Linked DNA regions of Canis lupus familiaris. The protein of the gene in region 2 interacts with the protein of the main gene of each other region in a pairwise test. Links are inferred from orthologs where the notes say so. Each region holds a gene or a part of one and is shown on either strand. Other genes may lie near its edges. The genes, in order: ODF1, MTUS2, CDK5R1, PLSCR4, CDKL3, TAF13 and GTPBP10.

Region 1 (4,267 bases), on a different chromosome or scaffold from region 2:
ATTTCTAAGCAGAGAGAACAGTGTGCAGACAAGTCTTGAATGAGGTGAAATGAGTAAGACTTTGAGAAAGGCCATTGTGACTAAAAAATAATGAACTACAGGAATAACGATGGGGGAGGAGAGAGAGAGAGGGAGACAGAGGCCCTATTGTTCAGCACCTTATAAGGATTTGGGCCCTTTTTCTAAGAGGACAGAGAAGGGTGGGTGGTATTAGGTGGGGGATAACAGATTTATATATGAAAATCACTCTGGCTGAGAGGTGGAGAATAGATAGGATGGGTCTGAGTGGATGTGAGAGGAAGGGGACACCACTGGGTTTCTTCTAGCCATCCCTATAGTCATCTAATCTAGACTTGGCTGCCCCTGCTTTTCAAAAGGCACCTCTCTTGTTGTCCCCTTTACCATGCTGGGGGATGTATACAGCTATCAGACTTACCTTTCAACTTCTCTCAGCAGAAAAGAAAATTAGTCATTCTTCATTATGCTAAAAATAAAGGTCAGCCTGCTTAGATGGCCCACAAGTCCCTTCAAAACCGGTCCTGTCTCCTTCTCCAGTGCTACATCCACCTGCTTGCCCTCAAGTACCCTATGCTGTCCTCCATGAAAAGGGGACTTGAGAGCTGGGTAGCAGGTTGAAGGGACTGGCCCAAGGAATAGAAGTACCCAAACCAAGGCTGAGGTTGAGCCCATGGCCCAGCATACTGACTGATCCAGCTGGGAGCACAGGAAACTGGCCCAAGTGAGGTTTTTGGGTAGTTGGCTTTAAGCCACTTCAGACAGTTGGCTGTCCCAGTACTAAGGGGTAACACCTGAGAAGCACTTGGAGACAGGGCATCTAGAGGCTTGGATGAAAGACTGGAGGAGAAATCGCTGGGAGGTGGTGACCGACAGGAGCCTGAGTCCTGGGGAGCAGGACTCCAGGGACTGGAGCTTCAGGATAGCAGGGTGCCAGATAGCAGAGAATGCGCAGGACTCAGAGACTCAGGGCCACAAGGCCAAGGACCAAGTCTGCCTTGAGAATGACATGGTCAGAAGAACCACAGGAAAGCTCTGTAAAGCAAGCAAGCTTTCCATATACGGACGAGATGGCAGCATGACTCCTAGAGTATGAGGGGGTGAAGCTAAGTGTCAAGTGAAGGCTAGAGGTACAAGGGCACAGAGAAAGGAGCCAGGGCCTCTACCATCCCCTACACTGAGATCTTAGTGGCTGTAACCAGGCGCGCGCGCACACACACACACACACACACACACACTCAAGCCAAGGACATGGACAGTGATAGCCATGAGCCCCAGAGAGCTGGGATTGCTTGAGGGCCCCACCCCATGTCAAGGAGAATGAAATCTCAACATTAGTATGGTTCTGGGAGTAGCTCTGTAACTCTAGGGAGGGTCTCTGGAGAGCACGGCTGTGCATAGTTCACATGGTAACCAGAAGACTATGACATACTTAGAGGGTGGTGAGGTCACAGAACTCAAGCTTTAAAGTAACTGAATCATGCGTGCCTCATTTATTTTTAAAAGAAACTTCTGAGAAGAGCTTAGAATAATTTTTTCCCCCCGAGTGCCATTTCCCAAAGGTACTCACAAAACAATAAGGTGTGACTGTAATGGCTGCACTGAGTTGTCTTCTGGACAGTGTTAGAAGGGACATAAAGAAGGTGGACCGAGAACTGAGGCAGTTGAGATGCATTGACGAATGTACACGGTGTCTGTGCGACCTGTACATGCACCCGTACTGCTGCTGCGACCTGCACCCCTACCCCTACTGCCTGTGCTACTCGAAGCGAGCGCGCTCCTGCGGCCTGTGTGATCTCTACCCGTGCTGCCTGTGCGACGTCAAGCTCTACTGTCTGCGACCATCTCTCAGAAGTTTGGAGAGGAAAGCCATTAGAGCCATAGAAGATGAAAAGAGAGAGCTTGCCAAGTAAAAGGACTTTTTAAGATTTTTTATAAGTCGGTGTATTAAACCTTGGGAGTTGAAGGCGGGGGAGGGGAGGTAACAGCTGATACTTGAACAATGATGATGACAAGGGTTCAAAAGAATGACTCTGGTGACTTAGCAAAGATGTAAGAAAAGAAGAGTAGACGGGTCCATGATGGGAATTGTGAGATTCTCAAAAGACAATGTAATGATGTCGATTGGCAAGGTTGTTGTGGGTTTATAGCAGGAGTGCCAACATGATAGATAATGTGGCTTTAATGAGGGAAAGAAATAGGAGGTGTCATTAAAAAGCTATTGAAAGGAGCAAACTAAACATTTTTTCTGGTTATGAGTAAAGTGATTTGAGGATATTTGGGCTTACAGAAACGACTACAGGAGAAGCAATAACCATTGATCAAATCCTTAATGTTCGCCAGAGGCTTTAAGAGCAGGGGAGCAAATTGAACAACAGAGGCGTTTCCTCGGTTTTGTAGGAAAACCCTTCTCCCATTCCCCAACTCCAGGCAGCCTTAAAATCCATCTGGAGTAGGGACGGTCCTGTTGACTGCCTCCTCCAGGAGTGGCAAAGGTTGTACGTATGAACTATAGAACCGAGGACTTTCAGAACAGAGTTGAGAGGGTTTTAACTGAATTGGGTAATTTTCAAAGCTACTTTTTACTATTTTGTTTGATTACATTTCCTTTTATGGCCTGGAGAAAGCTTTCTATTTCTAACTTTCCACTGTATGCCATCTAGTCTGGTATAATTGATATAAACAGTTGCTGAAAGCACTGTACTCTAGTTAAATAAATTTATTTATTATAATAAATAAATAAACTACACTGGGATACTAGGTAGATGTAACGCAGAACGATGAAGCATTTTATGTGTTGCTGTATTGAATGAAAGAGGCAAGAAAAGCTACTTAATATGCTACTACTTTTAAAAAGATGGGGGCACAAATGGATGATAGACCTTTTGATCCAAACATACTTGACATATAACACTGTAATTTAAGGTGTATAGTATGTTTGATACATCTATATATTATGATGATGCCATTGAAGCGATAATTAGCATCTCTATCATGTTCCATAATTATCATCCCTTACCAAGTCTGATGATCATAATATAATATTGTTGTCTATATTCACTATACTGTGCATTAGATCTCTGGGACTTATTTACTACTCATTGCAAGTTTCTATCCTTAACATCCTTCCTATTCTCATGGTAGATTAATAGATTAGAGAGGTAGGTAAGTAGGTAAGTGGATGTATGGGTGGGTGGATGGGTGGCTGGGTGGCTGGGTGGATGGGAGATACAGACACTTGATAACAGTGACTGGGATATTCCACCAGAAAGGGCAATAGAGCAACTGTTGTCCAAGTCATCAGTCACCAAAGGTCAGGAACAAACCCCTCTCAATAGTTTGGAATGGGGCTATAGCCTATAAACTCATCTACATTCAATTTTAAAGTTTTTATTTTTACTCCTTAGAGGATCAAGTTATGTAAGTTTTGCACACTGTGAGTCAGGGATTTTTAAATTGGTCTATAGGAAGGGTTACTTGTGAGCAGGCCTGTCTCCACCATCCCTGTGCCTCTGAATCCTTGAAAACACTTGATCCAATCCCTTCCAGCCTTTGTCTCCTGCCTGTCCCTTTTCTCCAGACTCTCCAGAAAGAGTGCCTCTCTGTTTCTCACCCTGTGGGCACCCTCCACCAGCTCTAAGAGTCCCTATTTCTTGGCATGCAGTAGACACAACCTCAAGCTTAATTCTCAGCAGTGTGGTTTATATAAGACAGAATGCTTTCTATGGGTTGTGATATTTTTCCCAACAATGCCTGGATTTTTGCTGATTTTTTTTCTGTGCCTGAGGCAGTATATAAAGTTGGTGATGTCTTTACATGAATTCTCCAGTCTCTGAACTGATAACTGAGTCCATTCTAGATATGACTTCAGGCTTACCGTCCTGTGTCTCCTTCCAGCCACTTTCTTCCCATTCATACTACCTTGTGAAACCCTCCTCTGCTCTATTTCTGACAGTCTGACGTTTGACTATCCAGGAGGGCTTAGTGTCACCTGCAAACCTAAATATTCAATTTTCCTGACCATGGATGAAAACATTAAATCCTGATCTAGCCCCAGTCCCAGAGGACTCCTACTGTTAATATTTTTTCTTCCAATGAAATGCTGCTTCTTCCTTATCTCTCACCTAGCTCCCAAGCCCTGACTAAATAGATCCAGAAATATCATGTTGATTCAATTTTTTAAGACAATCTTTGGTGTGAAACCTTGCTCAAGGCTTTGTGAGTTTAGAAATCACATTCACATGACCTTCTA
Region 2 (4,134 bases):
CAGGTCCAAAAAAAGCCCCATTTGTGCAAAATCACAAGGCAAAGAGTTGGTTCTCCAGGTAACCACCTGATCTCAGTAGCTCCACACAGCCCTAGGTTATAGCACTTTGCTCTTTTTCAGTAGGTCAACTACACCATTGGCCAGATTTCAAATTTTGTCTTTTCAGAAGACTGGGGATGTTAAAAGGAGAAAAAGCATTTTTACAAGTTAACTTAACATTCAAAAATAATTGAGAGCCAGAAGAGATTCCAAGTTTGCAGAGCATTACATTTATATGATGGGAGGCAGGGGGGTGGAGAGAGTGTCATCCTTATTTTTAAAAAATCTAAAATGCAAACACAAAATTAGGTATGACCATGTGAACTCATTGCTAGTGGCTTTCCAGGGGCTCAGAAGAAACCTGTGTGAGGGGCCCTGAAGTTTAAGATTCATTAGCTTCCCAGTAAATCCGCCTCTGCTGGGAGAAATAAAAGACTAGAGCGGTTTATACCGCAGCATTAAAATCTCTAGAAAACCGCTAAGCTTAACAGCATTCTATTACATCAATCCTCTAGATGCTATTCTTATCTCTCTTTCACAAACCTCCATCCCTGCCGTTCCCTCTAATTTGGCAGCCACAATTCATTATAAAAGTCCATGTGCCGGCCTGGGGTTGTGCATCCTTCCCCTATTTGGGCTCTAACAATCTAGTACTGTGTCAATTATGTAATAGCCAAAACACAGAGTTGAACAGAGTATGAAAAAGCATAGTTCTTACATAAGCCTTCATAAACCACCCATAAGAGCTGAATATTTGAAATTACATAAGGTAGACAGAAAACCCTGAGTCAGCAGCCAGGTCTATTTCCAACCTTAAAAATAATAAAAAGCTTTTCACACTTAATTTACTAGTCTACATTAAGTTTTTAATTAGATTTTTTTAATAAGGCTGGATTATCTTTTCGTGCACCCAGAAGCAAAACCCTGACACTATACTCAACTTCACTATTACCTCGGCACAAAGAAATGTCCCACTTAGGACTCCTCTACATATTTTACTTGGAATTATGGGTCTCTGAGAAACAACAAGGACTTCTGCAGGCTTAAAAAATAATCAAGGAAGACCTCTGGATACAATACAAAAGTGCACATACTATAATTCTTCGACACATCTTCCCAATACTGTTTTTCTTTCCCATTTTTTAAAAGATTTTATTTATTTGAGGGAGATGGAGAGAGAGAGCAGGAGCAGAAAGAGGGAGAAGCAGAATCCCCGCTGGGCAGGGAACCTGATGTGGGGCTCAATTCCAACACCCCGAGATCATGACCTGAGAAAAGGCAGATGCTTAACTAACTGAGCCATCTAGGCATAACCTCCCCCAAATTTTAACCACTTTTTTTTTTTATTTACCTTACACCACTGAAGCCACATGTTGGGCTAAAAGGTGATAAAACTAAAAGGAGCAGTGCTCCCCAATGGGTCTCAGCCCTGGCTGCACAAGAATCAGCAAGAGAGCTTTTAACATTTCAAATGCCTCAGCATCGCCCCAAACCATGATAATATAAATTAAAAACAGATAGGAATACTAAGGTGGGGGCACAAGAGGGGGTGCCTAGACATCAGAATTTCCGACGTTTTCTATTTTTGTCTTCTTCTTACCTGAAAAGAAAATAACCATGGATACAAGAAGTTTTAGTGAGGAGGGATCTTTAATAACCGATAGCTCAAAATTACTAAGTCTCTACCAGATATAAAAAGAAAATCATTCAGTAGTTTGAAAGCCATAAGAGAGATCTGTGGGATCTTCTGTTTTTATTTCTATCAATAAGTAGTCAAAATTTTTCACGAAGTTTCTCAATAGCCTTTACAGAACCTCTTTTACTTTTTAATGTTTTGCAAATCTGTCTAATGAGTTCAAAGGACGCGCCCTCCCTAGATCATCTTAAAGGATCCCTCAAGCTAAGACCATGCTTCTCTTCAAGTAAAGTTGGGGTTGAAAATAGTTTTGACTTCTCTTCAACCCTTCTCCTCAGGTGCTCTGGTAATCACTATTATAACTTTACCAATGAGCAACTATTTTTTGAAGTACTTATATAACAGAGAGTACAGGCGCCTTTGGTACCCTGCCAAGAGTACTTCTTTCCATGTTTGTATTTAAAATAGAACGGTAGTAACATCACTTCTGTGCCTGAAATTCCTCTGTGCACAGGCTCAGAATGAGAAGGGGAAAAAAATGGATGTAGCAAACCGCTTCACTGCTTTATCATCCTAAAGCTCAAAGGAAATAACACATTCATACTAAATTAAGACGAAGGCACAGAACAAATTACCCGAAGCTGGAGGCGGAGGGAAGGACTCGGGTCCGCTCACCTACCCCCTCCCGAAACAGGACGCTTGACCTGGCAGCAGCGAAGGCGCCAAATGAGCTGCCAGACCTCAGCCCGAGCAGGTGGTGCGGGCAGGAAGGAAGAAGTGCCGCGAGCACAGAAAAGCCAGGTAAACGCGGCGCGGCGCGGCTCCGAGCCCGGCTGCCGTCACCCCGACTCGGCCACCTGCCGGCGGGCGTGGCCCCGGCCCGACTCGCTCACCTGGTGGGAAGAGCGGGGGCAGCCGTCCAAGAGGCCGCCGCTGCCCTCAACGGGGCTCCGTCCCGGCCCGCGGCCGACGCGCTGCCTCCTCCGCTCCCTCCGCCGCCTCTTCCAGCTCGAGTTTTCTATTTAGCGACAGGTCCGGACGCGGCGGGCGGGCCACGGAGGTCGGCCGCGGGGAGGGGCGCGGCAAACTTGCCCCAGAGGCCCGCGGAGGCGGCGCGGCCGGGGACGCCCCCGCACCTGCAGCGCGCTCGCCCGCACCGTCGCCCCGGCCCCGGCCCCGCCCCCGCCCGCGCCCCGCCCCCGCACGCACCTCGCGCGGGCACCGCCCAGGCCTCCGCCTCCGCCCCCGCGGCGGGCGCTTCCCGGCCCCCGGGGCCCGCGGCCGGCGCCCGCCGACAGCACGCCCGGCTCGGCCGCCGCGGCCACCGCTGCTCCGGCCGCCTCTCCCGGACAAAGACGGGCGGCGGGGCGGGCGGCGGCGAAGCCCGAGGCTCGGAGCGCGCGGCGCTGGCGGGGGCGGGGGCGGGCGGGGGGACAGCGCGGGGCGGCGAGCGGGCGGGCGCGGGAGGGCGGCGCGGGGCGGCAGAGGCGCGCACCCCCTCCCGGCCGCCCCGAGACGCACACGCCGGGGCCCGGGCGCCTCCTCCCGGCCCCGGCCCCGCCGACCGCAGCCGCGCCGCCGGGGAGCCGCAGCGCCCTCTGCGGGCCGCGGGGCCTCCGTGCGCGCCGCGTTGGGCTCCGGGCCGGCGGCGGCGGGGGCGGGCGGGGGCGGGCGGGGGCGCGGGGCCGCGAGGGTCCCCGCGGCCCCGGGGAAGGACGGAGTAGGACCGAGGCGGCGTCCGAGAACGGGATCCGCTGTTTTTCCTCTTGGGACGGAAGAGAGAGACAAGATTCGAATTCCGGGCAGCAGGAGGAATCTGGGATCCGAAGTGGGAAAAACTTGGGGGGTCGGGGGGGGGGGGGCAGTAGGATTCCTGATTCACAAGGACCCAAAGCTAATCTCTGGTAATGGCTGCAGAAAAGGCAGGCGTGTCCTTCTAGAAGCCGGTGCTTCTGTGCCTGATACTGCGGGCCTGCAGAGAGCTTGGCCACTCTCATAAATAGACGCATGGACTTCTCCAAGACCTTTCCAGCCCTACCCGAACTGCCCCCGGCTTCCCTAGGAACGCACCTGGAAGGTTTGAAAAGGCAACTGAGATCAGAGAACTTCCTCCTCTGGCTCAGCCGCAGTGGAACAAATGTTTACTATTAAAAAAAATGAAACCGTGATGTTGCCCCTTGTGCCATTTAGGGCTTGTTTTTCTTTTCTTTTCTTTTCTTTTCTTTTCTTTTCTTTTCTTTTCTTTTCTTTTCTTTTCTTTTCTTTTCTTTCTTTTAAGGGTGTCTTTTTCCAAACTACCATGTTACCTATAGTGTTCTATACAAGTTAGCTTTTTAAACAAGCTGAACGACTTGGTGACCGGGGATCGCGAAGTAGCACCTTTTTTCCACACTGTCTTTTGAAATCATTCTGTCAGCTCTCCCTTCCCCTTTGGAAGAATCTAGGACAGTTTTCACAGC
Region 3 (4,087 bases), on a different chromosome or scaffold from region 2:
CCCTCCCCACTTCTGGGCCCCGCTGCCCCCCAAGGGCCTCCTACCTCAGGTCACACGTGGCAGCGGGATCTGAACAGACGGGCTGGGTGACAGCTCCCACCGAGATAGAGGCGTGGCGGCCAAGTCTGTGGCAGCAGCCGAGGTTCCTTCCAGCTCCGCCTCAGCTTATTTGGCAGCCCAGGGAGGGCTCAGCGCAGCTGGGGCGAGGGATCGCCATCCCAGCCCCCCGCGGGCCCTCCTCCCCTTCCCCAGGGAAGCGGCAGCTCCGCTCCAGGCCTCTTAAAGTAAGACCCCGGTTTCACAGCTTTCTCTCGTGTGAATTTCAGTAGTGCTTCTGCTGAAACCAGCAGCCACCTAGAACCTATCCTGTGTCAGAGGACCCTCTGCCTGCCCCCCGCCACCCCCCCTCCCTGGGACTGGAAGGGAGACTTCCCCAGGGCATCTTCACATTGACCTTTATTCCCCAAAGCTGGAGTGATGGGCCACAGAGGAAGACTCGCTCCCTTCTCCTGGTCCTCTCCCAAGTCCCAAGCCACCAATCTGGGAGAATCAAAAAGGAAATTGATTAAGTACATGTCGTGTGTTTTTCACAGCCACTAAGATAAGGTGGAAACCCAAATCGGCAGCTGCAAATGATCAGGTGCAGAATGGCAGGCTTCCGAAGCCATGAGGAGCGCTACTCCGGCCTTGGAATTGTCTCCAAGATCCAGTGGTCTCACTGGGCCTCGCAGGGCAAGGCTTCGTCTTCAGAAGAAACTGAACTGTTTGGAAACAGCTTTAAATGAACAGGGATGGGGACGGCGGGGGCGGGGGGTGTACATCATTACCCCATCATTCTGGTCCCCGACATCACCTCGGCTCTGCAGGAACAAATGTCATGCACCAGCAAGAGGCCTTAGCCCTCAGGTGAGCACTGGCTGGTTTCAGGCACGACGACCCCACCTGCCCAGAAGGCAGGCTGTCGGTGAGGGGCACCTGCAGCCGCCCTGGCCTTCGCCACAGGGTGAGTAAGCTGCATTAGTCAAAGGAAAGATTCGCCCAGGAAAGGAGCTGTCCCTAGCTTCACCCCACCCCTTTAGCTGGGACCCCAAATCAAAGAACTTAATGAGTCAAACCAGCTCATTAACCGACACTACCAACACGGCTGGGAGCAGGGGGTAAGGAGGCCAGGGAGCAAGTTCCATGTCTTCACTAAAGGAAAACTCTTCTCCCTAATAAAAGAAAAAAGAGCAAACCAGGGTGGTGCATGGTCAAACGACAGGACACAATCTTTGTACCAGGCCAGCTTCTCCTCGACGAGTTGTCCCAGGGTGGTGGGCACCTCGCCTCACAACCCCATTCGTGGCTCGGTCAGGGTGGCCAGCTCCACAGGCCTCTGGGAGAACGGATGACCCAAAACAAAAGCCAAGAAAGGCCCTCCAACCGGCAACAGCAATGGCTCCCCAGGGCCAACTGGCCAGAGGCCCCTCTCTGGCTACCATGCCAGGAGCGGCGGGCAGCCTCACCTGCCCTGGTCCAGCAAGGGCACAGGTGGCAGAGACAGGTCAGTCCTTCAAATTCCCCAAAGTTGAGAAGTCAGTGGCCTGGGTGGCTCTGAACACATCTTCTGGGTTTTTGCACAAGGTTCGGGAGTTCAAAAGCGCCCAGAGTTCTTGGCAGGGCTGAAGAAAACCCCAAGGAGAGAAGGTGGGAAGGAAGAGGCCCTCGGTGGCTCTGCTAGACACATACTGTACACAAAATCTGATTTGCTTAATAATAAATTTTTAAAAATGAATTGAATCCTTGAGCCATGATGCGGGCTACAGGGCTCACCGATCGAGCCCCAGGAGGAGCCGCTTCTTGTCCTCCTGACCACTCTCGTTCTTCAGGTCGGAGAACACCTGTGTGAAGTAGTGCGGGTCGGCATTGATCTGCAGCATCTTGGAGCTCATGAGGTTGATGACGGAGAGGCAGCGGTCCCAAAAGGCCTCCTTGCAGCTCTCCACCAGGAAGGGCTTGAGCGGGTAGGAGATCTCGTTGCCCATGTAGGAGTAGGAGAGGTACAGGCAGGTCAGCAGGATGGCCTGGAGCTCGTGGTCCGAGCCCACCTCGGAGGAGATGACATCCCTGCAGAGCATGTAGAGGAAGACCACGTTGGCCGGCGTGATGAAGCCCTGGTCCTGCCAGCCCTGCAGAAGCAGCGAGCGGTCCACGCTGCGCAGCCAGAGCACAGGGTCCGTGGGGGACAGGTGCTTCAGGCGGTAGCACCGGCGGCAGAGAAACTCGCCCAGGCAGCGCAGCAGCTCGCTGGTGGACGCCTGGACGATGACACGTTTGGGCGTCCCCGCGGAGGTGAGAGCCGGGTGCGGGGCCTTCTTGACAGAAGAGGAGACCCCGGTCTGGGAGCCCGAGAGCTGGCTGGCGGGGGGCGCGGGCGGCTGGGCCGGCGGGGGCTGGGCGAACGTGGACAGGTTGGCGCACGACAGCGACTTCTTCAGGTTCTCATTGTTGAGGTGCGTGATGTTGTTCTGGTAGCTGCTGTTGGGCTGCACCTTCTTGGAGTTCTTCTTCTTGGCCGACACGGCCACGATCCTCTTCCACGGCAGCACGGAGATGATGGAGTGCCGCTTCAGGTTCTTGTCCTTGGCGTTCTTGCTGTTCTGCACGGCCGTGTAGTGGCCCACCGTGGCCGCGCCATCCTCAAACAGCGTGGCCTTGCGGTAGCTGGGGGACAGGGACAGCACCGTGCCCATGGTGCCGCTGCGCGCCGGGCGGGGGCCCGCGCCCCTGCGCGCCCAGCCTGCCGGCCGGAGGCGATGCGCTCAGCGGGCCCGCGGCGGTCCGGGGCGGGAGGCGGGAGGCGGGAGGCGGGAGGCGGGGGCGCTCCGGGGGCGCCTGCGGCCCCCTCGGATCTGCGTGGAAAACAAGATGGTTCTCAGCACCAGGCGGGGCTCGGCGCCGCGCTCCGCCACCCGGGCCGAGGCGGCCCCCGCGGCCCTGGCCCCGGCCTCGCGCCCCCGCGCCGCAGCCCGGCCGCCTCCACTGCGGCACCCCCGCCCGCCTCCGCGGCCGCTGCGTCCCGACCGCAGCGGGAGGGGCCCGGCGCCCGCGGAGGTGGAGGCGGCGGCGGAGGCGGCGGCAGCGGCGGAGGCGGCAGCGGCCGGGGACCCCCGCCTCGACACACCGCGCGCGGCCCCGGCCCCGGCCCCGGCCCCGGCCCCGGCCCCGGCTCCTCGGGGGGCAGCGGGCGGCCGCGAGGCTCAGGCTTACCGGGCAGGCGGCGGCGGCTCCGGCGCTCCGCGCCCTCCCTCCGCAATGCGCGCCGCGGCTCGGGCCCGCGGTCCCGGCGCTCGGCGGGGCTCGGCGGGGCTCGCGCTCGGCGGCGGCGGCGGCGGCGGCTCCGGAGCTTCTGTCCAAGGTTCTGCAGGCGCTGCGGCCCCGCCCCCCGCCGGCCGCCCGCCGCCTGCGCCGCCGCCGCGCTCCCGCGCCCGCTCCCGCTCCCGCCCGGGCGCGCACCTCGGCGGCCTCGCTGTCGGGGGCGCGCGCGCGGCCCACGTACGGCCGGGGCTGGCCTGCTCCGGCGGCGGGGCGGGGGGCCGGGGGCCGGGGGCCGGGGTCGGGGCCGCCGCGGTCCTCAGCGCCAGCCGTGCGCGGTGCGGGCAGGGACGCGGCCAGGGCCCGAGCGCCTCTAGTCGCCGCGCCCCATCTAGGACCCGGACTCGGACGCCGGCGGCGGGTACTCCCGGCCCCGCCCCGCTCTGCGCCGCCGCGCCAGCAGCAGCCCGGCCGCGTGAGTCCCCGGCGCGCCGCGCAGCCGAGCTCCGGCGGGGCCGGGGAAGGGGGGGCGCCGGGGGCGGGACCGAGGCCCGAACCCGCCCGCCGCCCCGCCCAGACACGTGCTGCCTTTGTTCCCGCCGCGGCGCCCGCAGCCGCTGGCCGCGGGGGCGCTCTCGGCCGCGTCCCCGCCCAGGCGACGCGCGGCCCGCCGGGCTGGGGCTGGGGCCGGGGCCGGGGCCGGGGCCGGGGCCGCAGCTGCGGCGCGAGAAGCCATCCACGGAGGCTGGGTTTCCCGAGACCCCTTTTCCCATTAACACCCTCGTCCCCCGGG
Region 4 (3,500 bases), on a different chromosome or scaffold from region 2:
AGAAATTAAATAATGGAATTTAAAGAAATTAATTAAAGCCGAATACTTCTATAGTATTTCAAGTTCCTTCCTGTGAATTACAGGGCCATATTTTGCATCAGTCATCATAAATAAGTACAGAGTTCAGCCACTAGGTGGCGGTCACAGTGAATTTTTGTTAATTTCATAACTGAAAATTCAGTTCTATGTTCTGCACCATGTTTTTCAACTTATCTAGTCATTTGATTTGCATGATATATCTGATGCTCTGGCTAATTTTTTGATACAGAGAGGAATACACACTTTCCCAAACGAACAGTACATGACTTATAACCAATGTTACTTGGAAATGAGAGAGCCTTTGTTCTACACGAATCTAGGTTCTTGGATATAGTGATCTATGAATATAAGTTAGATCATGTTGACAGTCAGTGAAGTAAATTTGGAGAAATGGTCAGATATAGTATGATTATAATTTAGGACTGTCAAGACCTTGGATTTAGCAGGAGTTGAGCCAGTAATGAGGGGTTATATCGGAGCAGATATGCATACGTACAAGGGAAAGGTGAAAAGGAAGCCCTGCTGTTTTCAGAAAACACTGAGAAAGCAGAAGTTAACTGAGCCCCCTGGTCTCTCTCTTTTTTTTTAAGTACATAGTTACCAATGATTATTTTATTTAAATTCAATTAATTAATATATAGAGTATTATTAGTTTCAGAGGTAGAATTTAATGATTAATCAGTTGCATACAATATTCAGTGCTCATTTCATCAAGTGCCCCCATTAATTAAATGCCCATCACCCAGTTACCCCAAACCCCCCCCCCCCCCCACCTCCTTTCCAGCAACCCTCAGTTTCCGATAGTTAAGGGTCTTTTATGGTTTGTCTCTCTCTCTGATTTTACCTTATTTTATTTTTCCTTCTCTTCCCCTATGACCCTGTTTTGTTTTTTAAATTCCACATGAGTGAAATCATATAATTATCTTTCTCTGATAGACTTATTTCATTTAGCATAAGATAGCTGAGTAATATTCCACTATATATATTCCGTATCTTCTTTACCCATTCATCTGTTAATGGACATCTCTATCCATATTTGGCTATTGTGGACACTGCTGCTATAAACATTGGGGTGCAGGTGCCCTTTCGGATCACTATATTGGTATCCTTTGGGTAAATACCCACAGATATTATGGGTAGGGCCAAAACCATTATCCTGTGGGTCCTGGGGTTTCTTCTCTTCTTTCACAGACTAACTCAATGGTTTATACTTCTAAATGTACACTTAAATATACATTTAGAGAAACACTGCTATACTTTATCATTTTCTAAATCATTAAAATGTATTTGTATACAATCCTAATTAATTCCTTACTTACTTCAAAAGTAAGTACATTTCTAATTTTAAAAATTTCACACATTGCCAATTACTTTCTAAAAAGACTACAATAACTCAAATACCACTAGCATTATGAGTATCTATTTCACTGAGTCACCACCAGAAGTGCATTCAGACTTACAAAATTATTTATATAATTCCTTAATCAGCACTCAAGGCCATTCACCCTCATTTCTCTTGCATTTGTCCATTGCATGTCTCATACCAAACTTTCATGACCTTGTGCTTTTGTACATATAGTTCTTTCTGCCAGAAAGAAGTCCTTCCTTTTCTTTGAATGAGAAACTCCTTATCAAGCCAGAAAAATCTGACTTCCTCAGTTACGTCTTCTGTTAATCCCTGCTAAAATCAGTTACTGTCATCTTGGCCTTAGAACATCTTCTTCATATTTTCATAACAGAGTAGAGAGATTACCATCAGTGTTTTATACAAATTCCTTCCTCAGGTGCCTACAAATGTATTCTAATGGACATCCCGTAAACTACTTGGCACTTTGGAGGCATGATATACTTACATAAATATATAAGAATACTTATTTATTGAATCATTCAATTACTTAATTACTTTTATTTATTTATTTTTAAAGATTTATTTATTCATGACAGAGAGAGAGAGAGAGAGAGAGAGAGAGAGGCAGAGACACAGGCAGAGGGAGAAGCAGGCTCCATGCAGGGAGCCTGATGTGGGACTCGATCCCAGGTTTCCAGGATCACACCCCGGGCTGAAGGCGGCACTAAACCGCTAAGCCACCGGGGCTGCCCTAATTACTTAATTACTTTTAAAAGCAATCTTAACTATTAGTATGGTTTTTTGGAGAGGTGAAAATAATCTTTCTGGTTATTTAACCCACCTAGTACTAAATGGGAATTGTAGTCAGGAGGTGCATCAGGCCTTGGATCAGGAGACTTTACTTGATTCTCTACTTCATCTGTAGGTTGCTCAGGGGCTGCGGGGACCACACCTTGGGAGAAGTAGAGGGGACATGAGTTACAATGGAAGTGATAACGTGATAAGAGAATATGTTCATTTTTCTTATCAGTGAAAGTAAATAATATGAAATATACTCATATTTTTAAAAGACACATAATTCATTATGTAAATTACATATTAACCTGTAATAACCTGTATTAACCCGAACTGATGAATTTTCAGGCTGAATATAGATTTAAAAAAAAAAATGAAGCAATTATTCATATTGTGCTCTGACCAAAGCAACACACTTTCATGCTAGTGGTTCAGCTCACTTCATGCTGATGCCTACCTACATGAACTCCTGACACATTAGCAAAAATTCTTTTCTTCACTACCTAATATGGAGAATACAGTAATATATAGAGTGAATCTTATTTTTTCCCCAATCCTTTTTGGAAAATAACTGTGTTTTAATAAATTCAAAACATCACATGATAAATACGTAATGCCTTAAAACACAGCAGTGCCACACACAACTCAGTTAGAGGTGGTTTAATATACCTCTCCAGTGAAAGTGACCTTGGTGAAAGGTGAGTGAACTCACTTTCCATGATGCTATCTTGTGCCCTTGTTGCAATCAGAGAAATGTCTGCCTGGATTCACTACAAGGTAAAATTCTTATTCTCTTAACTGACTGGTTTTTATCTCATGAAATACACAAATCCCATAAATGTGGTATCTCTCTCCTTCCATTGTCTCCTGCATTTGCTTGAAAATGCAGGACCTGATTCTGAGCCTTTCTCTATATGGGCAGGCTGTCATCACAGGCTTGTTATTACTGCTTCTTTTTGCAGACTTAATTTCTTACTTTGTCCTTTACTTAATTTTCCCCACATACTTTAGAGATCTTTCAGTACATATGTGCCAATATAAATCCATTTAAATCCTTTTCTGTCAAAGATAGATAGAAATGTTCATATGTATATAAAAGATGCATTCTCCAAATGCTAAACAATAATAGAAAATTTCAAGGAAATAAATTCCAATTTTTAAGGAAAATATCACATAATCCATATTTGAGAATAAAGTATATTAAAATTTATTCATAAAATCTTACCTGACATTTTGAAGAATTCCACTTAGTCCTGAAAAATGAAACATTTATTTATTTATTTATTTATGATTTTATTTATTCACAAGAGACACAGAG
Region 5 (4,267 bases), on a different chromosome or scaffold from region 2:
AATTCCTCTTTTGACTTACACCAATGAAGGTAAAAAAAGCAAACCTTTAAAAACTTTATTTCTCTTGTTGCAATTTTGTTGACAGATTTCTCCGGTTTCTCGTAAAATATCTTAATGGCCACTATCTGCCCAGTATCCTTATGTTTACACTTCATGACTGTTCCATAACTTCCCTCTCCCACTTTTCCGAGGGTTTCATACATCTCCATTTTCAAGCCCGATTCTTCTTCATAAAAAGAAAGGGAAAAAAAAAAAGTTAGACATTTGTACGTTCATGCGTACAAGCTGGCCAATGCATCTCCACAATAAACCCGTATTTTGACATTTGTGAACGCGAAAACTGTTCTTTTTCCACAGACGGTTGCACGTCTTGGGGAACTCCGCCCACGAGGCAGGAGGGTGTCTGTGTGGGGCTGCACACCTCACAGCCACGAGGGGGCTTCCTGTTGCCTCAGGCATCCCCGTCCACACGAAGGCTTCAGAGCCCCTCACTACGTGCCACCTGTCCATCAGGAGCGTGGTCCGCACACCTCCTGCCATACCCCCGTCAAAAGCGCGGTTTCCGAAAGGCGGAAGTCACCTACAGCTCTGGCCCCCGGACCCAAGAAAACCTCAGCCCCACCGGCTCCTCAAACCCGACGTCTTATGGTCCCGGACCAGTGTTGCGCTGCGCCCCTTCCCCCGCAGTCGACCTCGTCCGGTCAAGCCGCCGACTTCTCAGCCCATTCTGTAGCCCCGCCGGCCTGGCTCCGCGCAGACCCGGCTGAACAACCGGACACCGAGGCTTCCGAGCTGGCGAGCGCGGCTAGCTTCCGGCAGCCCGCTACCATGGCAACGGCGCCGCAGACCCCCCGCGCTCGGGACCTACTGCGCAAGACAGGAACATCCGCCCGGCCCGGCCCGGCCCGACCCGGAAGAGAAAATCATAAAGGGTTGAAAATGAGTTGCCGGTGGGCTTAGGCTCAGGGAAAGCTTTCTGGGGGTCGGGGTGGGGATTATATGGGTTGAGACCAACTCACAAGGTTGGTTTTGAGTTTTGAGCAGAGGTGAGGGGAGGATCCACATTTTACTGCCCCGAGAGTCTGTCTCCTAGAGAAGGGTGGAGGCTTGCTCCCAGGCCAAAGAACAACATGCCGCAGGTGCTGGGTCCTAAAAGGATGGCTTGAGTCGTGAAATAGAGACACATTGTAAAACAAGTCTTCCAAGGAAGTCTTGTGTAATTACGGTCGTCTAAGTTACCTATTTATATTAATATTCCATAGACCTGAGTTCGACCACAGGGGTCGGCATTCATCCTTAAGACGGGGTTAAGACGGTTCTTAATGTTTCTTGAACACTTGCTATATGCTTAGAAATTTTTCGAACTCGTAGTACTCCTTTTTAGAAACGCCCTCCTTGAGAAAACAAATCGACATAAAAGGACACAGCAAAAGGGGGATAAACATTATCTAATTGCTTAAAAACTAGACATGGGGTTCTGCTGGCCTGACAGCCTCCATACACTGTGAGATTCCAGAACAATTACACATTGCTACCTAATGATCCAATAGGGATATTTTTTGAAGATTTTCTTTGGCATTTTACTGCATACATACTGACCCGTATGTCTTCATCCTTAGCTATGGTGAGAATTAGGATCGCTACTGTGGGAGGCAAAAGATGAGAATATTCAGCTTTTAACTTTCAGAATTTCATTTGTGGATGCATCGCAGAACCTATCAAGAGTTAGGTTTGGCTTACTTGATCACCAATGAAGTTATAAAAGCAAAAGATAGAATTCAGGGTTTTGAGAAAAGGAGACAGCAAGAAAGTGAGGGAAATTAACGCTTTCAGTTTCCAGGAAACTATGGGCAACTTGGTGCAACGCTCCCACTATGCCTTGGGCTGAAGAATTACCCAGAAGGATATAAGGTGTTCAGAGTCCTCCAGACCAGCAAAGCCCTGAGGCCAGGAATCAAAGGCAATGGAAGGAGGGAACTCAACACCTCTGAGCAACCTGGTGGACATCTCAGACCCATCTGCACCTTACTTGCTGGTGTAGGAAACCTGAAATGAGTTATCCAGGTTAGCTATATAACTCCCACCCACGTCTGCAAAATCTCTTCCCCACATCCAAGTTTTTAGGCTTTCTTGACAACCAGCCACCCTTCTAAATGCTTTGCGATCTCATCTCCATGTACCCTATCTTAGCCAGTCATGGACTTTGACACATTTTGACACCAATCCTCAAATGAGAGGAGGCTTATGTTAAAATAAAATTCTGTAATTCCATAGAGATAGTCAACAAACCTTAAGACAATCTCTATACCATTTTTTTTTTGTCTTCGGAATTTCCAACCCTGCAAACCCCATTGTGATGCACATACAGGCTCTTTGGTGGCCTCATGGAAGCATTTCGGGGAATTTTAGTTGGTGTGGGCCTCAACATTTCAATGCTGGGCTAATTATGAAAAACAGAGGTTCCCTCACTCTGCCCCAGGTACCAGATTTGATAAGCCACTGAATCAACCAGAAAAGATTTTAAGTCCGTATTACTTTTAGCTGTTTTTAAAACTTAAGCAAAACAAGCTTTTGCTTCCGCCACGACCGCAGACCCTTTTCATGAAACTGGAGGGAAAACTTACTAAAGACCCATACCCGCCCTCAACCCCATAAACTTAACTACCCGCTCCATAGACCTGAGACTCAGATTCAGACGACACTTTCACGTGATCCGTTCCAACCTCGTCATAGGGACACGTGGTTCTAGATACTTCGTCCCCTCCCCCTCAGGGGTGGATTGTTGACAACGCCGCCGGCGGTCACGTGACCTTACGTCATCCCACCTCCTTTCCCTGAAATCTCTGGCCCCGGATGCGGCTCTCTGTCCCCACCCGGTCGAGCTTAAACTACTAAAAGGGGGAGGCATAGGATGGTGTTTCGGTTTCGGGGTCTCTTAATCCACAACCTCCAATCAGAGAACAGAGAGGACTAATTTATCTATTATATTAGGAAGCCAAAATTGGTAGAGCCCTGCCGCAGAGCTCCCAAAACGGGTCTAGACGCCCCGTGCCCTTCTCCCCCAACCCCCTCACCCCGTGGTACTGGCGGAGGGCGGAGGGATCTGGAGGCGGCGGAGGGAGACGTCATTGCAGGGTTGTTTGTGCAGCCTCGGCGGCGGCGGTGACCCACAGTGATTCGGCCGCCGCGCCGGGGGGTGGGGGGGCTGCGCGGGACTCTTTTCTTTCAGACTGACCGCGGGGCAGCTGGGGAGCATGTCGACTCCGGCCCGGAGGAGGCTCATGCGGGATTTCAAGCGGTAAGGGCGCTCACCTCCGCCTGGATGACGGCTCCTCCCCACAGCTATGGGGCTGCAGGGCGGGGATCCGGGACACCTTCCTCTCCTAACCCTAAGAGGGCCTCCTCTGGGCCCAGGGGTCCCGAAGGAAGCCCAGCCCCAGTCCCGGTTCGCACTCCTTCATCCTTGCTCACTCTGCCGACGTAAGAAATTTCGGTACCCCTCCCCCAAAAGTAAAAAGATGGCTATGGTTTGTCCTAGGGTTCCCCGCTGCCCACTTGGGTCAGCCCCCCGACGTCTAGTCCTAGAGCTCAAGCTTCATTTCCCCTTCCTCTGTCCCCCCAAAGCAGACCCTTGCAGAATCATATTCCCTGCTTGCTGCACCAGTTTTGCTGGATGGCTCTGCGGTCTTAGCTGAGGGGCAGGGTTGGGATGAAAAGCGCCCCCCCCCCCCCATTCTCTCTGCAGCGAGGGTGGGGTCTGCAGCGCGAGGTCCGGGGGTTATTAACCCATCCTCGGAAACCCGACTCTCCCTCGCCGCCCGAAAGGACCTTGAGAACTGGCTTAGAGAGCTGGGACTCGGGCTGGGAGCCCGGGCTGGGCTGCCAGGGCCTTCTGGAACTCAGCTCTGTGGCCTGGTGTCTAAAGCCCTATCTATAGCCTCCAAAGTCTGGAAAAATGCCTTCCTTGAGACTGGCGCTAACCTGATACTCGCTCGGCCTCCTTTTGTAAAATAGGGTTTTGTTAGGAGGTGTTGGGGTTAGTAAGGAGGAAGTGACCTTTTTTTCAGTTTACCTTTGGATACTTGGAAGTACGGAGGCCGATAAAAATAAGAAAACTTACCATTACGATCCACTGCACGTTTTGTGGGGGTTTTGTTGTTTTCTTGGGGAGACCTGCTCATAGAAACTTGGGTTAGCTGTCCAGGAAGCAACCTTTTAACTTCGCCATTATAAAGCCATAGGTGAGGCATTTGGAAGCCATTGTTTT
Region 6 (2,735 bases), on a different chromosome or scaffold from region 2:
TATCTCAAATGCTTATCCTGCCATCAGCTTTTTAAGCAACACCATTTCTACTACTGAAAGTATTTATTTACAGAAGTTTTAATCTGACCTAGGAAAATGAGTTCTCTTAAAACTTGACAACTAGTTCATTATTAAGTCCAAAAGGTTTTAAATCAAAGCCTTCCAATACGGAAGAATTCACATGAAACTTTTCATTTAAAAAAACAAACAAAAAAATCATTCTTGTAATCTAAAGAATATTAAAAAACAAGTATCTTAAGACCGATAAACATTCCTCCAAAACACTATTATTTTCTTGTATTACCTTCTCCTTTAAAAAAAAATGCAAACCAGTTCACTCTCTTAATAATTTCTTAGACTTCTGTAGTCTAAAAACTTTAGAATACATGAAACATCTTAGCAATCATAATCAAAGGTGCCCTTTAGATTTCATATATTAAACAGCTATTGTATAGCCTACAATGGCACAAATACACTCAACACATAAATACTACTTCATCATTTAGACGGTCAAAGTCAGAAGGAACTGCATGGTTTGCAAGGTATTTCAACTTACATGTGGTCATTAAAACCCAACAAGTAATTCAAGTATAGTCATATAAGGGCAGGCAATTCAAGGCTCAAATTTCACTCTAAAATTGAAGATCTGAAAATAAAAGCTGAAAACTTTGTTTCTCCATCTTGGATATACATGGATAGATACTGGGACCTTACTGTGGAAAATATACAATTATTATACACGGTTTCCCCAGAAAATAATGAAGCTTCAGAAAATACAGAAAGTGTCAAGACCCATAATTTGCTTCATCAAAAGCTTTTCTAGCTCGTTTCAATTCTTCATTCATAGTAAGCAAGTCTTTAACCCTAGCAAACTTCCTTGGGTCCTTTCGAATCAAGAAGACGATATCTTCGACTTGTACCCGACCTTGTCTTCCAATTGACATTGCCTTGTGAGTCTATTACAAAGAAATAAATTAACTTAAAACAAATCTAGTATTTTACTCTTTTAATTTCCAATTATTTAATATTGGTGAACCTGAAGATTTTCTCTTCTAATTTTTATAGCTATTCATTTGTAAATTGTCTTTCTATTCATGTCGTTTATCCACTTTCTACTGTATTACAGCAACATTTCTCTTAATGGTTTATAAACATCTTACAATACTAAGGATATAAAAGCTATCAAATTTATTGATTTTTTTAAAATTTTTATTTATGATAGTCACACAGAGAAAGAGAGAGGCAGAGACATAGGCAGAGGGAGAGCAGGCTCCAGGCACCAGGGAGCCCGACGTGGGATTCGATACCGGGTCTCCAGGATCACGCCCTGGGCCAAAGGCAGGCGCCAAACCGCTGTGCCACCCAGGGATCCCGTGATTTTTTTTTTTTAAGATTTTATTTATTTATTCATGAGAGACACAAAGAGAGAGAGAGACAACAGGCAGAGGGAGAAGCAGGCTCCACACAGGGAACCCAATGCGGGACTCGATCCCGAGTCTCCAGGATCATGCTCTGGGCTGAAGGCAGGCGCTAAACCACTGAGCCACCCGGGCTGCCCAAATTATTGGTTTCTTTTTTGTTTTTTGTTATTGTTTTATGTTATTTATATAAAATAATTCTGTAATTTCTTTTTAACTGCACATTTCATTAAAGCTTTCTGTCTCAGTACCTGATAAATAGTGGTAGGTCTTCTCAAATTCAAATAAATCTCATCTCATATCACATATTCATCCTGTGCAAAAACAAAGGTTCATCATAGCATTATTTCTAATGACTAAAAAAGGGGAAACTAAGTATTTAATAAGGCATTAAATAAAAAAATTTGGGCATATCCAGTCAATATTAAGAAGCCATTAAAAATATTACAGTGTTATGCAACGACCTGGGGGTCAGAGTTCTACTTATCTAATTGAAAAAGCAAGCTCTAAGACTAAATATACTATATGATTTCAATTTAATAAAGTTTAAAAATACGTGCAAAAAAACTCAAGAAGGGCAGCCTGGGTGGTTCAGCAGTTGAGTGCCTGCCTTCAGCCTAGGGCGTGATCCTGGAGACCCGAGATCGAGTCCCACATCGGGCTCCCTGCATGGAGCTTGCTTCTCCCTCTGCCTGTGTCTCTGCCCCTCTCTCTCTCTCTCATGAATAAATAAAATCTTTAAAAAAAAAAAAAAAAAAAAAACAAGAAAATATTCAGCAAAATCTCAGCATAAGTCGTTTCTAGGTGGAAGGATTGCAGATTTCTATTTTCTTTCCTGAACCTTTTAATATCGCCTAAACTTAATATTATTTTTATAAATGGAAAATAATTTTTAAAAATGCATATTCTGGAATATTCACAGGAATTTTACTTCTATTATTCTGTACTAATGAAATAATCTTTTTTTTTTTTAAGATTTCACTTATTTATTAGAGAGAGAGAGGGGCAGAGACACAGGCAGACGGAGAAGCAGGCTCCCTGAGGGGAGCCCGATGCAGAAATAATCTATAATATAATACAAGGTAGAAAGTCAAGGAACAAAAAATAAAAAAAGAAAAAAAAAGAAAAAGAAAAATAAATAAATAGAAAAAGTCAAGGAACACAACCAAACTCAGTATCCCCATCCCTGTAAGTATATACAAGGAGATGGGAGGACATTTCATGAATATGATCATTCAAAATTACCTACTCAATGAAAAATAATCTGCAAATGATTTATATAAGAGAGATATGGTTAAATATATTAGAAAACAACTT
Region 7 (3,500 bases), on a different chromosome or scaffold from region 2:
GATGCTAACGGTTGAAGAAATGATAATTGAGATTTTACCTGAAAAGTACTTAATAAAAATTTTAGAGACTGAAATCCAACTGATGTAGGAATGAGTTAGGGGCAGACAGGGCTAGTCAGGGAAAGATAAGAGAAAGGCCCCAGAATCAGGCTCCTACCCATCCCAAGAAAACAGAGGTAAGACAGTAAAAACAGAAAAAAATAAACCTGGCTCCCTAGTTCCAAAATGTTAGGGAGTATTCCCCTTTAATAGCTACTAGGCTCACAGAAACCCCAGATGTAGAGAATTATGGAGGAGACATTAACCAGAGAGAAGGAACACCTTGTTTGTGCTCATGATATTTACAAAGAAACATCTTGTTTGATAAGGGAAGGGAGAAGAAATGTGTGGGAAATATTAGAAAGGGAGACTAGAACATAAAGACTCCTAACTCTGGGAAACGAACTAGGGGTGGTGGAAAGGGAGGAGGGCGGGGGGTGGGGGTAAATGGGTGACGGGCACTGACGGGGGGCACTTGACAGGATGAGCACTGGGTGTTATTCTGTATGTTGGCAAATTGAACATCAATAAAAAATAAATTTATTATTAAAAAAAAAAGAAACATCATGTTACAAGTCCACCATGTTTGTTCTAAATATCCACCCTGATATTGACAGGAAATTTACCAAGTCCCCTCCCCCCCCAGTTCCCTATAAAAGATAGACTATAAAAGCCCTCAGGGGCAACCCTGTCAGAACCCCTCTGGCTTTTGAGAGCTTTCTCTGTATCTCTGCTTAATAAACCTCTATCACTTTGCTATGTTACAGTCTGCGAGATTGATTTTTCGACTCCAGGAGACAAGAACAAAGCTCTCCCATATCACAACCTATGCAAAGATCAGATTTGAGAAGAGCAGTACAAATAAATATGTATATAGGACACCTTTCTTCTAAGATGCAGTTCATTCCTGAAACCAGCAAACAGGTATCTGCTTACGCTGGTACTCACAGTAATAACTTTTTAAGAATAGTTGCCCAATTTAAAAACACTAAAATACATGTTAAGCATTGTACTTAACAAACTCGATGCTTTAAAAAAAAACCCTCGATGCTTCAATTATTGACTGTAATAGCAAAACCACTTCTGAAAAGCTTAGTACTATATGTACTCTCCAATACATTGACAATGTAGTGATGATGATGATGGTAACAGCTACCATTCATTCATTGAACATTCATAAATCCAAGGAATGTATTGTAAATGTGTTTTCTTACATTTTACCATCTCCAGCCACTACTAAAAATGAGAAAACAAAGGCTTAGAGACATTCTACAACTTATTTAAGACATTCCAGGTGGCCTTCAGAGGATATGAAACTCTAACCCAAATAGTCACTCACTTGAGTTCCCCATCCTCATCCCACCTTTATTACTTAGTCTTGTGAGGCTCTTTAGTCTGTAAAAGTGTTTACAGAATCTGAAACACATTTTCGTAACAAATGAGACTGCGAATGGCTAGATTCTCAGTCTTGTTCATAAAAACCTACTAAACCCACATTGTGAAAAATATGTGTTACAGAAACTATGCCTCATAACTATACGGAAAAAACTAAATGCAAATGGCAAACCTGAACACCAGGATCACATCTTTCTGTATTATAACTTTAGCAAGAATGGGACCTTTATGAATTCTAGGGCACTGCTGTTAAGACTTAGTAGCTAGACAGGCATGGCAAGAGGTGACGGATTCAGACTGATGACTCTGGTAAATAAAGCAGTGAGATGCCTAGAGAAGATGAATTAGAAGCTATGTGAGGTGAAGAGTGGAACTGAAAGTTTGAAATAGAACCAGCAAAAAAGCAGTATTCCCTACCTTTTTCTTAGGTGTTCTGACTACTGTGTAATGCTGAAGTGGGGCCAGGCAGACAGGGAGAGAAGAAATGCAAAGCTGAAGCCTTCCCTTCCTTTACCTATTTTCTATTTTGCTCTCTATCTCCCTCAGTCAGGTGCCAGCACTGCAAACTCTACAGCTAAACAACACTGTTCTATGATTTTTTTATTTTATTTTTTTATTTTTTTTTTATGATAGTCACAGAGAGAGAGAGAGAAGCAAAGACACAGGCAGAGGGAAAAGCAGGCTCCATGCACCGGGAGCCCGACGTGGTATTCGATCCCGGGTCTCCAGGATCACGCCCTGGGCCAAAGGCAGGTGCTAAACCGCTGCGCCACCCAGGGATACCAACACTGTTCTATGAAACAATGGAAGCCTGTAAAAGAGGATAACATTGTGGGGTCTGCAGTACTGAGAATGGACCTAAGCAGATCATGAAGGACAAGGAAACAGTCATATCGAGATCCAACTTGGTGCTCCAACAGTGTCTAAGTCTGATGGTTGAGACTATCTGTATTGGCCATTAGCCATCTGATCAACAAGATAGCAATACCTCTATTAATTAAGACTTGTAAGAAGATTTCATTTTTTCTCTTTTTACTTCCTTCCATACACTTCATAAAATGTGGTTTGGATTTTAAATTTTATTTTTAAATATCTGGTAATATTCTTTTTACCTTCTTATACTACTGCATTTGATTGATTTTTCTTTCTTGATTCATTGTCTATCATTCCCACTAGCCTACTCAATTGCCATTATCTTCCTTTTACAAATAAATATTAACTGTGAAACTCTATGTTTGCAATATTAAAATAACTGTATTTAGCAGCATTCTCAATACAAACAATGCACAAATTCCATAAATTTATTCCATAAATAATACTGGTCCCAAATTACCATTTACATTTATCTCCTACTCATGAACTATCTCTCTGAAATTATAAAAATAAAAATACAAATGTTACTTACCCCACTAGGCCTATATCAGCTATAAGTTTTAGATCAAGGCGAATGACTCGTTTCTGGCCTTTCAGTGGTAAGAAATTTGTAAGTAATTTACCACCAAGACCTCCTTCAGCTACCAAAATTCTGTCTTGCTCTTTATTGAGTTCTCCTTAAAAAGACAGAGAAAGATACTTAGAATGAAGATTACTAAGTGTAGCTAATCATTAATGACATTTTTCATTTAGAAATAGATGCCAAAAAAATTCCAATTTATAAATCCAAAGAGCTGTATGTTTATAATAATCTTATATCTAGCAGTTAATTTTGAAAAATTTTTAAAAAAGATTTATTTATTAGTAGAGAGAGAGCACATGTGCATGCACTAGCAGGGGAGGGACAAAGGGAGATGGAGAATCCCAAGCTGACTCCTGCTGAGTGAGGAGCTTGACTCAGGGCTGGATCCCACCACCCTGAGATCATGACCCGAGCTGAAGTCAAGAGTTGGATGCACAACCAACTGAGCCATCCAGATGCCCCCTAAACAACTTTTATATAAAGTTTTAAATATCTCTTATAAATTAGCAGTTAAAATAGTTTTTTAAAAATTCTGACATTGAAGAGGAGCTATTCCCCACAGTTTCCAAACAATTTTAGAAAATATGCACATTTTTCACAACCTTGGAAT

Evidence for each region.
Region 1: the proteins of MTUS2 (region 2) and ODF1 interact in binary tests that used the Homo sapiens proteins (3 or more experiments, as listed by UniProt). The two-hybrid records come from large-scale screens. The link is inferred for Canis lupus familiaris from reciprocal best matches to the Homo sapiens genes MTUS2 and ODF1.
Region 3: the proteins of MTUS2 (region 2) and CDK5R1 interact in binary tests that used the Homo sapiens proteins (3 or more experiments, as listed by UniProt). The two-hybrid records come from large-scale screens. The link is inferred for Canis lupus familiaris from reciprocal best matches to the Homo sapiens genes MTUS2 and CDK5R1.
Region 4: the proteins of MTUS2 (region 2) and PLSCR4 interact in binary tests that used the Homo sapiens proteins (3 or more experiments, as listed by UniProt). The two-hybrid records come from large-scale screens. The link is inferred for Canis lupus familiaris from reciprocal best matches to the Homo sapiens genes MTUS2 and PLSCR4.
Region 5: the proteins of MTUS2 (region 2) and CDKL3 interact in binary tests that used the Homo sapiens proteins (3 or more experiments, as listed by UniProt). The two-hybrid records come from large-scale screens. The link is inferred for Canis lupus familiaris from reciprocal best matches to the Homo sapiens genes MTUS2 and CDKL3.
Region 6: the proteins of MTUS2 (region 2) and TAF13 interact in binary tests that used the Homo sapiens proteins (3 or more experiments, as listed by UniProt). The two-hybrid records come from large-scale screens. The link is inferred for Canis lupus familiaris from reciprocal best matches to the Homo sapiens genes MTUS2 and TAF13.
Region 7: the proteins of MTUS2 (region 2) and GTPBP10 interact in binary tests that used the Homo sapiens proteins (3 or more experiments, as listed by UniProt). The two-hybrid records come from large-scale screens. The link is inferred for Canis lupus familiaris from reciprocal best matches to the Homo sapiens genes MTUS2 and GTPBP10.

What each region holds. Positions count from the first base shown.
Region 1 is NC_049234.1:4,268,204-4,272,470, forward strand, and holds the start of ODF1 (outer dense fiber protein 1), read left to right. Parts: upstream 1-1,467; 5' UTR 1,468-1,607; coding exon 1,608-1,924; intron 1,925-4,267.
Region 2 is NC_049246.1:11,012,810-11,016,943, forward strand, and holds the start of MTUS2 (microtubule-associated tumor suppressor candidate 2), read right to left. Parts: upstream 2,801-4,134; 5' UTR 2,569-2,800; intron 1-2,568. UniProt on the Homo sapiens protein: Binds microtubules. Together with MAPRE1 may target the microtubule depolymerase KIF2C to the plus-end of microtubules. May regulate the dynamics of microtubules at their growing distal tip.
Region 3 is NC_049230.1:40,470,969-40,475,055, forward strand, and holds the start of CDK5R1 (cyclin-dependent kinase 5 activator 1), read right to left. Parts: upstream 2,801-4,087; 5' UTR 2,733-2,800; coding exon 1,809-2,732; 3' UTR 45-1,808; intron 1-44. UniProt on the Homo sapiens protein: p35 is a neuron specific activator of CDK5. The complex p35/CDK5 is required for neurite outgrowth and cortical lamination. Involved in dendritic spine morphogenesis by mediating the EFNA1-EPHA4 signaling. Activator of TPKII.
Region 4 is NC_049244.1:41,959,168-41,962,667, forward strand, and holds part of PLSCR4 (phospholipid scramblase 4), read right to left. Parts: intron 3,436-3,500; 5' UTR 3,415-3,435; coding exon 3,408-3,414; intron 2,340-3,407; coding exon 2,229-2,339; intron 1-2,228. UniProt on the Homo sapiens protein: Catalyzes metal ion-induced ATP-independent rapid bidirectional and non-specific movement of phospholipids (lipid scrambling or lipid flip-flop) between the inner and outer leaflet of the plasma membrane and participates in the redistribution of phospholipids between membrane leaflets.
Region 5 is NC_049232.1:22,530,554-22,534,820, forward strand, and holds the start of CDKL3 (cyclin-dependent kinase-like 3), read right to left. Parts: upstream 2,801-4,267; 5' UTR 2,679-2,800; intron 2,065-2,678; exon of another isoform or gene 1,889-2,064; coding exon of another isoform or gene 1,834-1,888; intron 951-1,833; coding exon of another isoform or gene 358-950; intron 314-357; coding exon of another isoform or gene 275-313; intron 227-274; 5' UTR 210-226; coding exon 45-209; intron 1-44. Other genes in the region: uncharacterized protein LOC119876780, read left to right, coding at 275-313, 358-950, 1,834-1,888; UBE2B (ubiquitin-conjugating enzyme E2 B), read left to right, coding at 3,255-3,298.
Region 6 is NC_049227.1:43,177,262-43,179,996, reverse strand, and holds the end of TAF13 (transcription initiation factor TFIID subunit 13), read right to left. Parts: intron 957-2,735; coding exon 786-956; 3' UTR 501-785; downstream 1-500. UniProt on the Homo sapiens protein: The TFIID basal transcription factor complex plays a major role in the initiation of RNA polymerase II (Pol II)-dependent transcription.
Region 7 is NC_049235.1:16,228,224-16,231,723, reverse strand, and holds part of GTPBP10 (GTP-binding protein 10), read right to left. Parts: intron 2,985-3,500; coding exon 2,840-2,984; intron 1-2,839. UniProt on the Homo sapiens protein: May be involved in the ribosome maturation process. Complements an ObgE(CgtA) function in E.coli ribosome maturation. Plays a role of GTPase in vitro. When missing, disorganization of the nucleolar architecture is observed.